Xenopus tropicalis: one gene and its partners. The protein of the gene in region 3 purifies or fractionates together with the protein of the main gene of each other region. This does not show direct contact. Links are inferred from orthologs where the notes say so. Each region holds a gene or a part of one and is shown on either strand. Other genes may lie near its edges. The genes, in order: nat14, abhd12 and slc39a12.

What was found.
Region 1: the proteins of slc39a12 (region 3) and nat14 purify together in Homo sapiens (co-immunoprecipitation; 3 studies listed by BioGRID and IntAct, counting the BioPlex papers as one, with this or other methods). This does not show direct contact. The link is inferred for Xenopus tropicalis from reciprocal best matches to the Homo sapiens genes SLC39A12 and NAT14.
Region 2: the proteins of slc39a12 (region 3) and abhd12 purify together in Homo sapiens (co-immunoprecipitation; 3 studies listed by BioGRID and IntAct, counting the BioPlex papers as one, with this or other methods). This does not show direct contact. The link is inferred for Xenopus tropicalis from reciprocal best matches to the Homo sapiens genes SLC39A12 and ABHD12.

The regions. Positions count from the first base shown.
Region 1 is NC_030683.2:103,669,750-103,673,504, forward strand, and holds the start of nat14 (N-acetyltransferase 14), read left to right. Parts: upstream 1-1,039; 5' UTR 1,040-1,325; intron 1,326-1,341; exon of another isoform or gene 1,342-1,510; intron 1,511-2,682; exon of another isoform or gene 2,683-2,759; intron 2,760-3,010; 5' UTR 3,011-3,036; coding exon 3,037-3,117; intron 3,118-3,755. UniProt on the Homo sapiens protein: Probable acetyltransferase. May act as a transcription factor that regulates the expression of coproporphyrinogen oxidase by binding to a promoter regulatory element.
Region 2 is NC_030681.2:38,948,265-38,952,019, forward strand, and holds the start of abhd12 (lysophosphatidylserine lipase ABHD12), read left to right. Parts: upstream 1-1,475; 5' UTR 1,476-1,521; coding exon 1,522-1,685; intron 1,686-3,755.
Region 3 is NC_030682.2:28,280,921-28,284,575, forward strand, and holds part of slc39a12 (zinc transporter ZIP12), read right to left. Parts: intron 2,322-3,655; coding exon 2,154-2,321; intron 877-2,153; coding exon 769-876; intron 1-768. UniProt on the Homo sapiens protein: Uniporter that promotes Zn(2+) import from the extracellular space to the cytoplasm across the cell membrane. The transport activity is temperature dependent. May play a role in neurulation and neurite extension.

The DNA of each region.
Region 1 (3,755 bases), on a different chromosome or scaffold from region 3:
TATATAAATTACTTTAATCTTATTTTCTTCAGCCTAGGAATTCCCAATTGCAGCAAGCAGTCAGGGGCCATTTTGTGGACACTGTTATCAAAGCAGGTATTGCATCCTGCCAAAATCTTTTTTGTGTTCCAGTATGGGGGGACCTGATGTCCATGCACTGGTTATACAATTACATGGTGAGGAGGGAGGGGGAATGTGAGGAGGGCAGCAACATCTAAGAAGTTCTGAACTGAAAGTGAAAGTAACTGTCTGCCCCACCCCTATGCCTTAGGCAGGCAATATATGACTGACAGCTGGGATTTGTAAATGCTTTTATAATGGGTATGGATGTGTTAATAAAAAAATGATTTTGTCTTATGTCTGGGTGACAGGTCCACTTTAAGTGAACTATATTATAGAACGGCCAATTCTTAGCAACTTTTAATTTGGTCTTCATTTTTTATTTCTTATAATTGTTGAATTTTTGGCCTTCTTATACTAACTCTTTGCAGCTTTTAAGTGGGGGTCCCTGACCCCAGCAGCCAAAAAACTATTGCTCTGTGAGACTACAATTTTATTGTTATTGCTACTTTATATGATTTATCTTTCTATTCACCTCCTCTCCCATTCATATTCCAATTTTTCATTTAAACCACTGCCTGGTTGCTAGGATAGTTTGAACCCTAGCAACCAGATACCTTCTGAAATTCCAAACTGGAGAGCTGCTGAACAAAAAAGCAAAATAATTCAAAAACCACAGAAAATTAAAAATGAAGACCAGTTGCAATTTGTCTCAGAATATCAAGCTCTACATAGTACTAATTGTTTTGGAATCCATAACACAAGCTGTAGGAGTGCAATGAGCACCCATTAGGACCCTAACTCCCTACAGCAAACAAGAGATGCAGAACCTATGGTGCTGAAAGATCAGTTATTACAATATTGTACATCTTTTGACCCACCCACAACTAGGGATTTGCAGGCACGTGGGTTAATTAGCAGACCTCCCTGCAGTTATTTTTGCTGGGGACAGCTCAGTTTACACCACTGCTGGAAATATCTTGGAGTCATCGTATCAGTGTGCGGGAGTCACTATATACAGTGGAACAGTATAGATAAACATATGCTGCAGACAGTCAGACAAGAGCTATAGCAGCTGGCCCTGCCATTAGTCTCTGGCTGAATCTATCCAGCCCAGGCAGCCCAGCAGCAGGCATTTACTATAGGACACACCCCCTCCTCCAGCAGCAGCTGCTCTCAGCTGACAGATCCTCCCCCTCACCCACTGGCATCATGGAGTCCCTGGCTGGATGAGACAAAGCCTGCTGTAATCTATTAAAGGAAAGGTCAGTGCATAAGATACAGCCGTACATATGAGCTGCATGCAGTTATTCACCATCCATGTCTCCCCCCCAGCAAAGGCCTGTGGGACCTGGGGTGCAATGGTTAACCCCCTCTTTCCTGCAGGGAGTGAGTTCGGAAGAGGCACAGAATTAAAGATCATGCTTTTACTTTCTGGTCTCCCCCATAGGTAAACCAGACACCGCTAGTCACGTGTATCATTGTATTGTGTATTATTGTGGGTTGTGGTTCTTTCCACATGGGTTGTACTGTATATATTGCTTCTAGCTAATGTAATTAACACTTTGAGAGCCTTGCGTGTGAGGTGAGGGCAATGTAAGTATACTGCAGCAATCCTCATGATTATCTCTCAACACCAATGTATTTTAGTTTAGTTTATATTTTACTGGCTATCCCATGAGGGAATTTAAACTACAGGTTACACATCTGCTTTTCTTCTTAGATCAAAGAATGATTTTTTATTCTAAACCCTCACCAAGAATATACCCTAAATTTGATATTTTAAGGTACAGTGGCACAGAGGGTCTTGATTGGTTCAGACTGGTTTAGCCTTACTGGTAGCTTTATCTGTTTCAGTAGCATAGAAAGCCCCCAACATGTGGCCAGAGCTGGACTGGCATTCTGTGGGTTCTGGCAAATGCCAGAGTTGTTGCTGTAAGATGCCATAGACAGTCACTATTTATAGTGGGCTGCTGCCAGGGCCTATTTTAAATCCTCGTCCGGACCTGCCTATGGCCCACCATAGCATGTTGCTGAAATAACAGGTGTGGGAACCTGTTATCTAGAATGATCAGGACCAGGGGTTTCCTGGATAAGGGATCTTTTCATAATTTGGATCTACCCCCAGTAAGGATAAAATATATCTTAGTTGGGATCAAGTACAAGGTACTGTTTCATTATTACAGAGAAAAGGGAATCATTTAACCATTAAATAAACCCAATAGGGCTGTTCTGCCCCCAATAAGGATTAATTATATCTTAGTTGGGATCAAGTACAAGGTACTGTTTCATTATTACAGAAAATAAAATCATTTTTAAAAATGTAAATTATTTGCTTATAATGCAGTCTATGGGAGATGGTCCTTCCATAATTCGTAACTTTCTGGATAATGGGTTTCTGGATAACTGACCCCATACCTGTGCAAATGTCAAAAGCATATTTGGAGCTGTAGTTTACTTATATCTGGCTGTGAATGGGGTTTCCCATTCCTATTGCACTTGACATTTTGGTGACTTCTGCAAGAAAATGTGGCCTTTCCCTTTCTTAAGTGATACTCATTCAATGGCATTATGGTGAGCCACACACAGCGTATTTCCCCTTTTTTTTTTTTTTACTTACAGGCAGGCAAAAGCAGGAGAGCCACAATACATACCCGTGTATATTCCTGGCCAGTAAAATCATCCCAAGGCAAAGTATGGTTAGTCTGCACTCTGGGCAATTTGGTTATACACACTGACAGCTTTTTTGGGGAGCCAGGACTACTTGCATCCCATATTGGCAGCTTCTGGATACTCCGTATCTATTTTGGGACTACACTAGACTTTCATTTAAGTCCTTAGTTAGTTATTACTTTGTGATCTAATCATGTGACAATTGTATTTAACTTGTTGCTCATTTAACACATTTTTTTGCCAAGAACAAACCACCTTTGCTTACATTTCTTTAAAGAGCACCTACTTGGAAAAGCCCTAACCATGCCCTTTATTGATGAGAACCAGCTGTCTGTGCGGGAGATGCGAGAGGAGGAAGCACCCGTGGTACTGGAAATGTTGAAGGTAAATATCAGTATAAAGAATTCTTTGCATACCATAAGTGTATTCAAAAAGCAAAAAAGAGTACTTATTAAGTTGGCCAACAAATTTTGTCCTCAGTGTTACCAAAACTATTAAAGGGGTTGTTCACCTTTAATTAAACTTTTAATATGATGTAGAGAGTGATATTCTGAGACAATTTGCAATTGGTCTTCATTATTTATTATTTGTGTTTTCATATTATTTATCATGTTGTACAGTTCTCCAGTCTGGAATTTTAGCAGCTATCTGGTTTCTACCATTCTAATTTACCTAGCAACCAGTCAGTGGTTTGAATGAGAGACTTAAATATAAATAGGAAAGCACCTGAATAGCAATAGTTGGGCTATGGGGTCACAGCCAGAAGAAGAATGCAAATAATTCAAAAATTATAAAAAAACAAAACAAAAAAGAGTTTGTTTATTCCCCTGCTGTCACGTTTCCCACCGGCAGCTCAGTAAATTCAGCCACAGGGAGGGTGGGTTTGTGGCGGGGGGAATGTGAACGTGCGTAGGTGCCTGAAACAAAGGTTGGAGCCATATGCCAAAACCACCACTTTAGGCTGATGTCAGACGTGGTGTATTCTCAGCAAGCCGAAAAACGCTTGCCGAGAATACGCCCCG
Region 2 (3,755 bases), on a different chromosome or scaffold from region 3:
TTCCCACTACTGGAGTGGGGGTTCATTTCTCACCTGCCTCCTAGCATTTAAAGGAATTGTTCATATTTAATTTAATTTTATGTATATTGTAGACAGTGCTATTTTAAAAGTTTTGGAATTTTAGCAGCTATATGATTGCTATGATACAAATTACCCTAGTAACCACTAGAATTTGAATAGGAGTGGGTCTAAATGGTAATAAAAAGTAATGATAGCTTAAAAAAAAAAATAGTTTTTATGACTGTTGGGGTCAGCGACCCCCTTTTAAAAGCTGGAAAGAGTAAGAAAAGGAAAGCAAATAATTCAAAAATGATAAAAAATGAAAACCAATTGAAAAGTTTTAGAATTGGCCATTCTGTAACATATTAAAAGCTTACTTAAAGGTGATCCCCCATTTCCCACTGTGCATGTGTGATGATGTCACAAAAGCCAAACCCAACAAAGTTTTGCACCCAGCATCCCCTGGCACCTCAGCAGTTTAGGTTGACAGCTCTGTATATATGAAATAATTCATAGGACTAAAGGTGGCCATACACTGTAAGATCCATTTGTTTGGCAAGGTTGCCAAGCAAGCGGATCTTCTCCTGATATGCCCACCTATGGGTTGGTGAAATCCGGCTAATTCGATTGTTTGGCCAACTGATTGAATCAAAACGGTGGGCATAGGAACCTTTGTTCTTGAATGTGGTCCCCAGTCCGAATGAAAGATTAAGCCTGCCCGATGGAGATCTGGCTGATTTCAGGCCAGATGTCGGTGAGGACCGTTTGTGGTGCCCATACACCGGCAGATACACTAAAGGATCAGTCTAAAGGACCAATATTGGCAGGTGAAATCTGCCTGTGTATGGCCACCTTAAGGCACATAGGTTAGGTTTAAGGATTTTACTGCCTGTGGTTTTGATATTCTTAAACTAGCCATACACACTAGATCTTGTTTGGGGAGGTTGCCAGATGTGTGAATCTCAGCTCAATTTGGTAACCTACAAACTGGACCAAATCAAACTTATCCAGTCAGAGGGACTGAGGGAACATGCAGTAGTAAGCTCTTTGGCCACATGTCTTTATATGGGCACTGAACAATTCACTGATGAATAATTAACGTATGCCATAATGTTATTTCCCTTGTAGATTGGCCAATGTGTTACCCAGTAAAATAAGGATATCACGCAAAGGTTTCTAGTTAATGCTGAACTACAACTCCCAGCATCCCTGGCTATACTGGCTGCTCCTATTTTCCCTGTGTTTAGTGCAACAATCAGTGCCTGGGGATACCGGTCCTGAACGGCTGGCTCGTCTGTGTGGTGGAAGCGAAGCATCAGTAGCAGCCCCTGCTCCAGTTCCCATGCACATTTCCTCCCTGCCTCTCTCATGCTATTGGTCGCTGGCGGCAGGAGGTCACAGTGTAGGGGGCGGGCCCTGGCGATCAGCTGTAAGGGGAGGGGGAGCGGGGGAACAGCAGCAGCAGTTTGGTTCCTGGAGCTGCCGCAGCCTGTCAGCCGTGCCCCCTTTACCTGCCCAGGGATGAGAAAGAGAGCCGAGCCGGTGCCCCCGGAACATGAGAGCTTCGGCAGGGCCCCACTGGACAGGGAGTGCAGTATAAAGCAGAAACTGAGAATCCCTGGGACAAAGGGGCATTATCCACACGATTCCGACTGCGACAGCAAGGGCATGAAGAGGTTCGGCAGGTACTGAATGGGCAAGGGCTGGCATGCATTCAGGGATGTGCTACATGGCGATTTATAGGCATCTATATTGGCAAGAGCAGAGGGGTTTGTGTGCGTTTGTTGGATCCTAAAACAATACATGGCATCTATGCCCTCCAAGCCATCACCTTTCCCTCTCCTGCCTAGCTTGCCACTCATTTCCTAGTGATTGGCTTTGCCAGCCTAGCAGTATTCCCCAGATGTATTTCACTGTATATTCCTACTGAAGGTTGTGAGCTGCTGGTGCTGCTGCCTGTGTGCAACTCCTATGCATTGCCTTCTTTCTCATTTCCCTGCAATGAAGCCTGGTCACTGCCAGAAATGTGTTTAACTTACGATTCAAAACATTGTCCGGGCATTTACCAGGGGCAACAATTCTCCCTGTCTGCCATTGCCTGTAAGTGTAGGGGCTCATGCAGAGATTTCAGTATGAGGCCCTGAAATACTGCTTCCAGGATGCTTGAGATTGTAGTTCAATTGGAGCTGCTGGACCCCTGGCTGGAAATCCCTTGTGTAACAGTATAGTCCTGCTGAGCAGCCCCCTTGTGTTCTAAATGCTGTTTATATGCACCTGCTGACAGTCAGAGGATATTATGTTTGGCTGTGTATCCCTGAGTTTGCTTTGTTTAATTTAGTGTTAGACTGTTCCTTTGGGTAAAGGCTCTGTGCCATCCATTTCTCAGCTCAAATAACTGCACATTTTGCTCTCTTGATAGTTCTGGCTGTTGTAGAATGGCACCATATGAAAAGCATGCAAATGGAATATTCTGTATGTAGTACTTAAAGGAACATCACTGTGTGCACTGAGCTTAGCTCAGTTATAGATGGAGCACAGTTCAGTGATGATGCAAGGCGACCCCAATACAACAGCTACACGTCAATATTGCCTCTAAGGTGCACCCAACCGCTATATTCAGCTGTTTCTATCGGTATATTGGGCATGTCAGCCTCTTGGAGCTTCAGACTCCTGCCAGACTGTTGGGGAGTTGCAATTTAAAGGGTCAGTAACACCAAAACAATGAAAAGCAATTGTATAAACATTTAATATATAAATTGCGTGTTTAATATATTTTTTAAGATTTAAATTACAAGATTTACAAGATTTAAAAACAAATCTAGTTTACTCACTGTACAGTTGCTTTATGGCCAACTGGACTGCCATTAATGTTTTATCTTAATGAAGATAGACAGGGGTTAGCTGGTATTCATAGCTATTTAGACTCCTATAGAGTGAAAACTTTTCCTGTATACAAATAGTAGTGCTGTTGCCATGAGATATGTAATCTGCTGGTGCTGAGCAAACAACCATTAAATATAAATCATTTTTATTGTCATTTTATGGTGTTTTTGTTTTTTTAAGAGCAATTGTTGGGTTGAAGGTTAGGCTATCTGGTGTGTATGTATTTTGTATTATATGGCTAGTCAGCTGTCATTTGTGTCCTTAGCTTGTAAAGGGCAGTGGCATATATTTATGTGCTGTGCTGATAAGATCCATTGGGAATGTAGGCAGTACCACCCTCAGTCTTATCTGCACTAAGAGGTATTGCAAGGACTTTTAAAGATGCGAAGCCCAGAACCCAGTTTCCTTCTACATCAGTTATCTGTTAACAATTAAAAAAATAATATTGTAAATAAAAAAGGCTTACAAACATGTGGACAGACCATGGGACCATAGAAATTAGTGGTGCATGGTTAGTTCTGAAACTTGTGGGAACTGCGGATTCAGGTCAGCATCCTAGGTATGGGGTATTTTGCAGGCCTCTTCCTTTTCACAGCATCCCCTTTCCACCCCAACCCTCTATATTGACGAAGCTACCAGAAAGCCCAACTCTCTATGACATATGATGTCATCAGAGGCAGAAGTAAGACATGGGTTCTGAAGAGGTTTACCACCTTTTCTGCAAAAAATACCGGCCTTCCTAGATTTTTATGTTTTTTCCTATTTATAACATTGGCATCAAGCATCAGTTTGTACTAATGGCTGTACTATGGCGTTCTTTGTAATAGTGTGGAAGATGCTGCAAGGTCAATTGTAATTGTGCACCAGTTACT
Region 3 (3,655 bases):
TTCTCAGCATTAAAATGTTAACGATTATTGTTTGTTTTTACCCTTACTGCTAGTCTTCCCTCCCTTTGACATAAACAATGTCAATATAAAAGCTATAATAAGCTCTGTTTAAAAGAGCTCTTTCTTTTCCTCGTTGCTGCTATTAGGTTTATGGCACATGGTTTCCTTTATTGGAATAGATGATGCTAGTGGAGAAAATGTGAGAAATGTAGTTTAGTACAGGGGGGTGTTGTTCTAAGTGATTGATTATATAACTTCTCACAGTTGCTATCAAGAAAAAAGGGTGGGATCATCTGTAATGTTAAAGTCTTGAACTTCCATTCCAATTTGGTTGGTGCAAAATATAACCAAAACTATAGGGGCTTTTTGCAAAAAGATAGGCAGAATGCCATTTCAAAATTAACCCTATGTATATGTTGATATCAGGTGTATATTGCACCCTGACTTTGTCTCTGCACCATAAAGACTTTCTCCTGTAACTCACTGGCACCAAATGGCACCAAGGGAAAGCAGTATTTACTGGAACTAATAGCAAACAATACATTGTAGATTTATAAACTTTTCTCTAGTGGTGGACAGAACAGTCTCAAGGCACCACACAGGGAGTTGGGCAAATGGGTGGCTTTGGTCTCCTGGGCTGGTGGCTTAGTTTTAATAATTAAGGAAAATAAAAAGCAATCATTTTAATGGGAAAAATTCAACTTTTTGAAGGAAATATAGGGAATACAGGTTATTAGGGAATACAGGCTATTAGAATAAGAAACATACCAGCTGAATGGTAGAGCTAGATTTTGCTTTCCTTGATTGATCTCCTAAATGAGCATCCAGTGGTAGATCATGTGAATGTGTCAAGTGTCCATTCATTAATGACAGACCCTACAAATAAGAAAAACAAAGGTAAAGAATACCCTGTAGGTTTACAATCTAAAGGAAGAAGAGAGTATGAGATAAAAAAAAGTGTGTTCAGAGAATAAAAATGTAGTTAGATTAATGATTGAAATGTCTCTCAGTATCGATTAAAACTATACGCATGCTGCCTCCTTTAAGGCTGTTGTCTTAGGCCTTAGGCAAATAAGCATTGCTTAGTTTTTTCACAGACAACATGTATAAGCATAAAAATAAGAGATCCTCTGCACTCACCCATTATTGATATATATGGGACATGAAGACATTCTGTGCATTATGCTACCAAGAAATTCCATATATTGCAATATACTTCAAGCTGGCCAACTACATCAAAGTCATTCCCTCAGGCCAGCCCTACACTGACTTATCTGATTCATTAATAATTCTACTGCTTTAATATACATTTAACAAAGGTTAAAACCCCCAAATGGTTGCCCTTTTATTGGCTCCACTGGGATCACCTGACTGTGGCTGGGCAGGGAGGGAGCTACAATATGGAGCTGGCCACTGCTCCTGTATAAACTATAGCAACAAAGGGAAAGTTGTGCTCAACCACTAAATTTTATACCTTTAGGCGGGGGTGCAATGAGGTTGTGACCACAAAATACATATAGACAACAACACACAGGCAACATGTATAAGCATTAAAACAAGAGATCCTCTGCACTCACCCATTATCAATATATATAGGACATTAAGACATTCTGTGCATTACCAAGAAATGTCCTCCCCATTAAGCAAAACAGGGATTGTTTAATTCATTCTACTGCTTCAATATACTATACCCCACCTAATGGTTTAAAATTTATTGGTTGAGCGCAACTTTCCCTTTTGGGATATATATACATATCATGTCATATCAGATATTCAAGTTTTTGAGCCCTAAATGTTTTAGCCCTAAAAACTTGAATCATAAAAAAAAACTAATGTTGATAAATTTCCCCCACGTGTGTTTATTATTATTATTATTATTAGTAGTAGTAGTAGTAGTAGTATTGATAATAATAATAATAATAATAATAATAATAATAATAATAATAATAATAATAATAATAAGTTTAAATTTAGTACAGAAATGTTTAATTCTAAAGCATATTACCAAATCGTGTTTTCAAGGCCTTGCGTGTCATTACCAGTTACAGCAAGCAGGAATTTGGATCGCCTTGGTAAAAAGAGTTTGTATTATTCTATCCTTATATGTAAATGTAAAACCTATTGGCATGTTCCAGATTGACAGAAATGTTTACCTGCTTTGGAGATGAAACAAGAAGGAAAAAAAGCTTGTTAATCAGGAAAAATCCATAAATTCCTCCAATCATCCCCATTATTTTCCACAAATATTCATTCTCTTCAAAAATGTAGTCTCCTTGTTGCATATGATGTTCATGGGTGACAACTTCATGTACACCAAGTACCTAAAAAATGGAAATTGCAGTTACCTGCTGGAGGCAATATTTAGTCTTCATTCAGTAGGGATGTATTTCAGAAATAGTACCAGTCTTTTCCACACCCATACCCAAAACTCCTACCAGTGCTACTCATTATGGTACAGAACTCTACTAAAGACTTACTGTAACAGAGCATTATTTTGAGCTTGATGAGTGTGTATGCTTCTTTTTATTGGACTCCAAATTAGATGTCACCGTTTTTGCTAAATAAAAATAGGCAAATGCCATTCTACATGGAATTTCTCAATGAGATTTTTATTTTGTATATTTCTTGTTTATTGATTTTTCAGCTTACAGTATCCATGTAACATGACAATGCATTGGTAACAAGTGATATAGAGTATCACATTTTTCTCATTTCACAATGAAAATATGGAACATTTGGGCCTGCACAGTATGTTTAAATATACAACCTGAGCATTCTCTCTTCCTTACTGTTCGCTGTGTAGGGTTACACTAGTGATGAGCAAATTTTTTCACCAGGGATTGCTTCGCAGTGAATATCCGCATTTCGTCATTGGCGGATTGTTTTGCAAAACTTCCCTGAAAATTAGCAGCAGGAAAATTCGTCTTGCATCAAAAAAAGTTGCGTTCACTGCAAAAATAGACGCGGCGACAAAAAAGTTATGCAACAAACACATTTTGCAGATTTTAGACCATTTCGCAAATTTTTCGGCGAAGTGAAACGGGACAGATTTGCTCATCACTAGTTAACACTTAAGTGGTTTGTACAGGAGGTTTCAGCTAATGCGTACTGGAGAACTGTGGAGGGTTAGGTTGGAAACTACTTGGGGAAAGGTTGGACGGGGGGATAAGTGATCTGGCTCCCAACCCCCTTGGGAGAAAATTCATGAGGGTCCCAACTTTTCTCTCTCTAACTCAATCCAGGGGAGCCACAGCAATGAGATTTCTATTTAATCCAATAACATAGTATCTGAGATGAAAAAGCGCAACGTCCATCAGGTTGCACCCCTCACTGAAATAATTCCTACTTAGCTGAGCTGGTTAATATATACACAAAGAGAGGGGAAATAAATACTGTCACCACATTAGAATGAATGACCCAAATAGATAAAATAATGATGTCTAGTTAGAAGCTTAGTCTAATAGTATCAGAAGTATCAGTCAATTACAGCAGTTGGGGAGGCCTCTTTATCAACATTCTGATTTTATTTGAAACCACACATAAACTAGTTTCCACTAAAACCACAAATGCCTAGGAATTTATTAAAAGATCCAAATTGAAAAACCACAAACGAATTAAAATGCAGAATAAAAATGAAAAGAACACGAAAATCTTG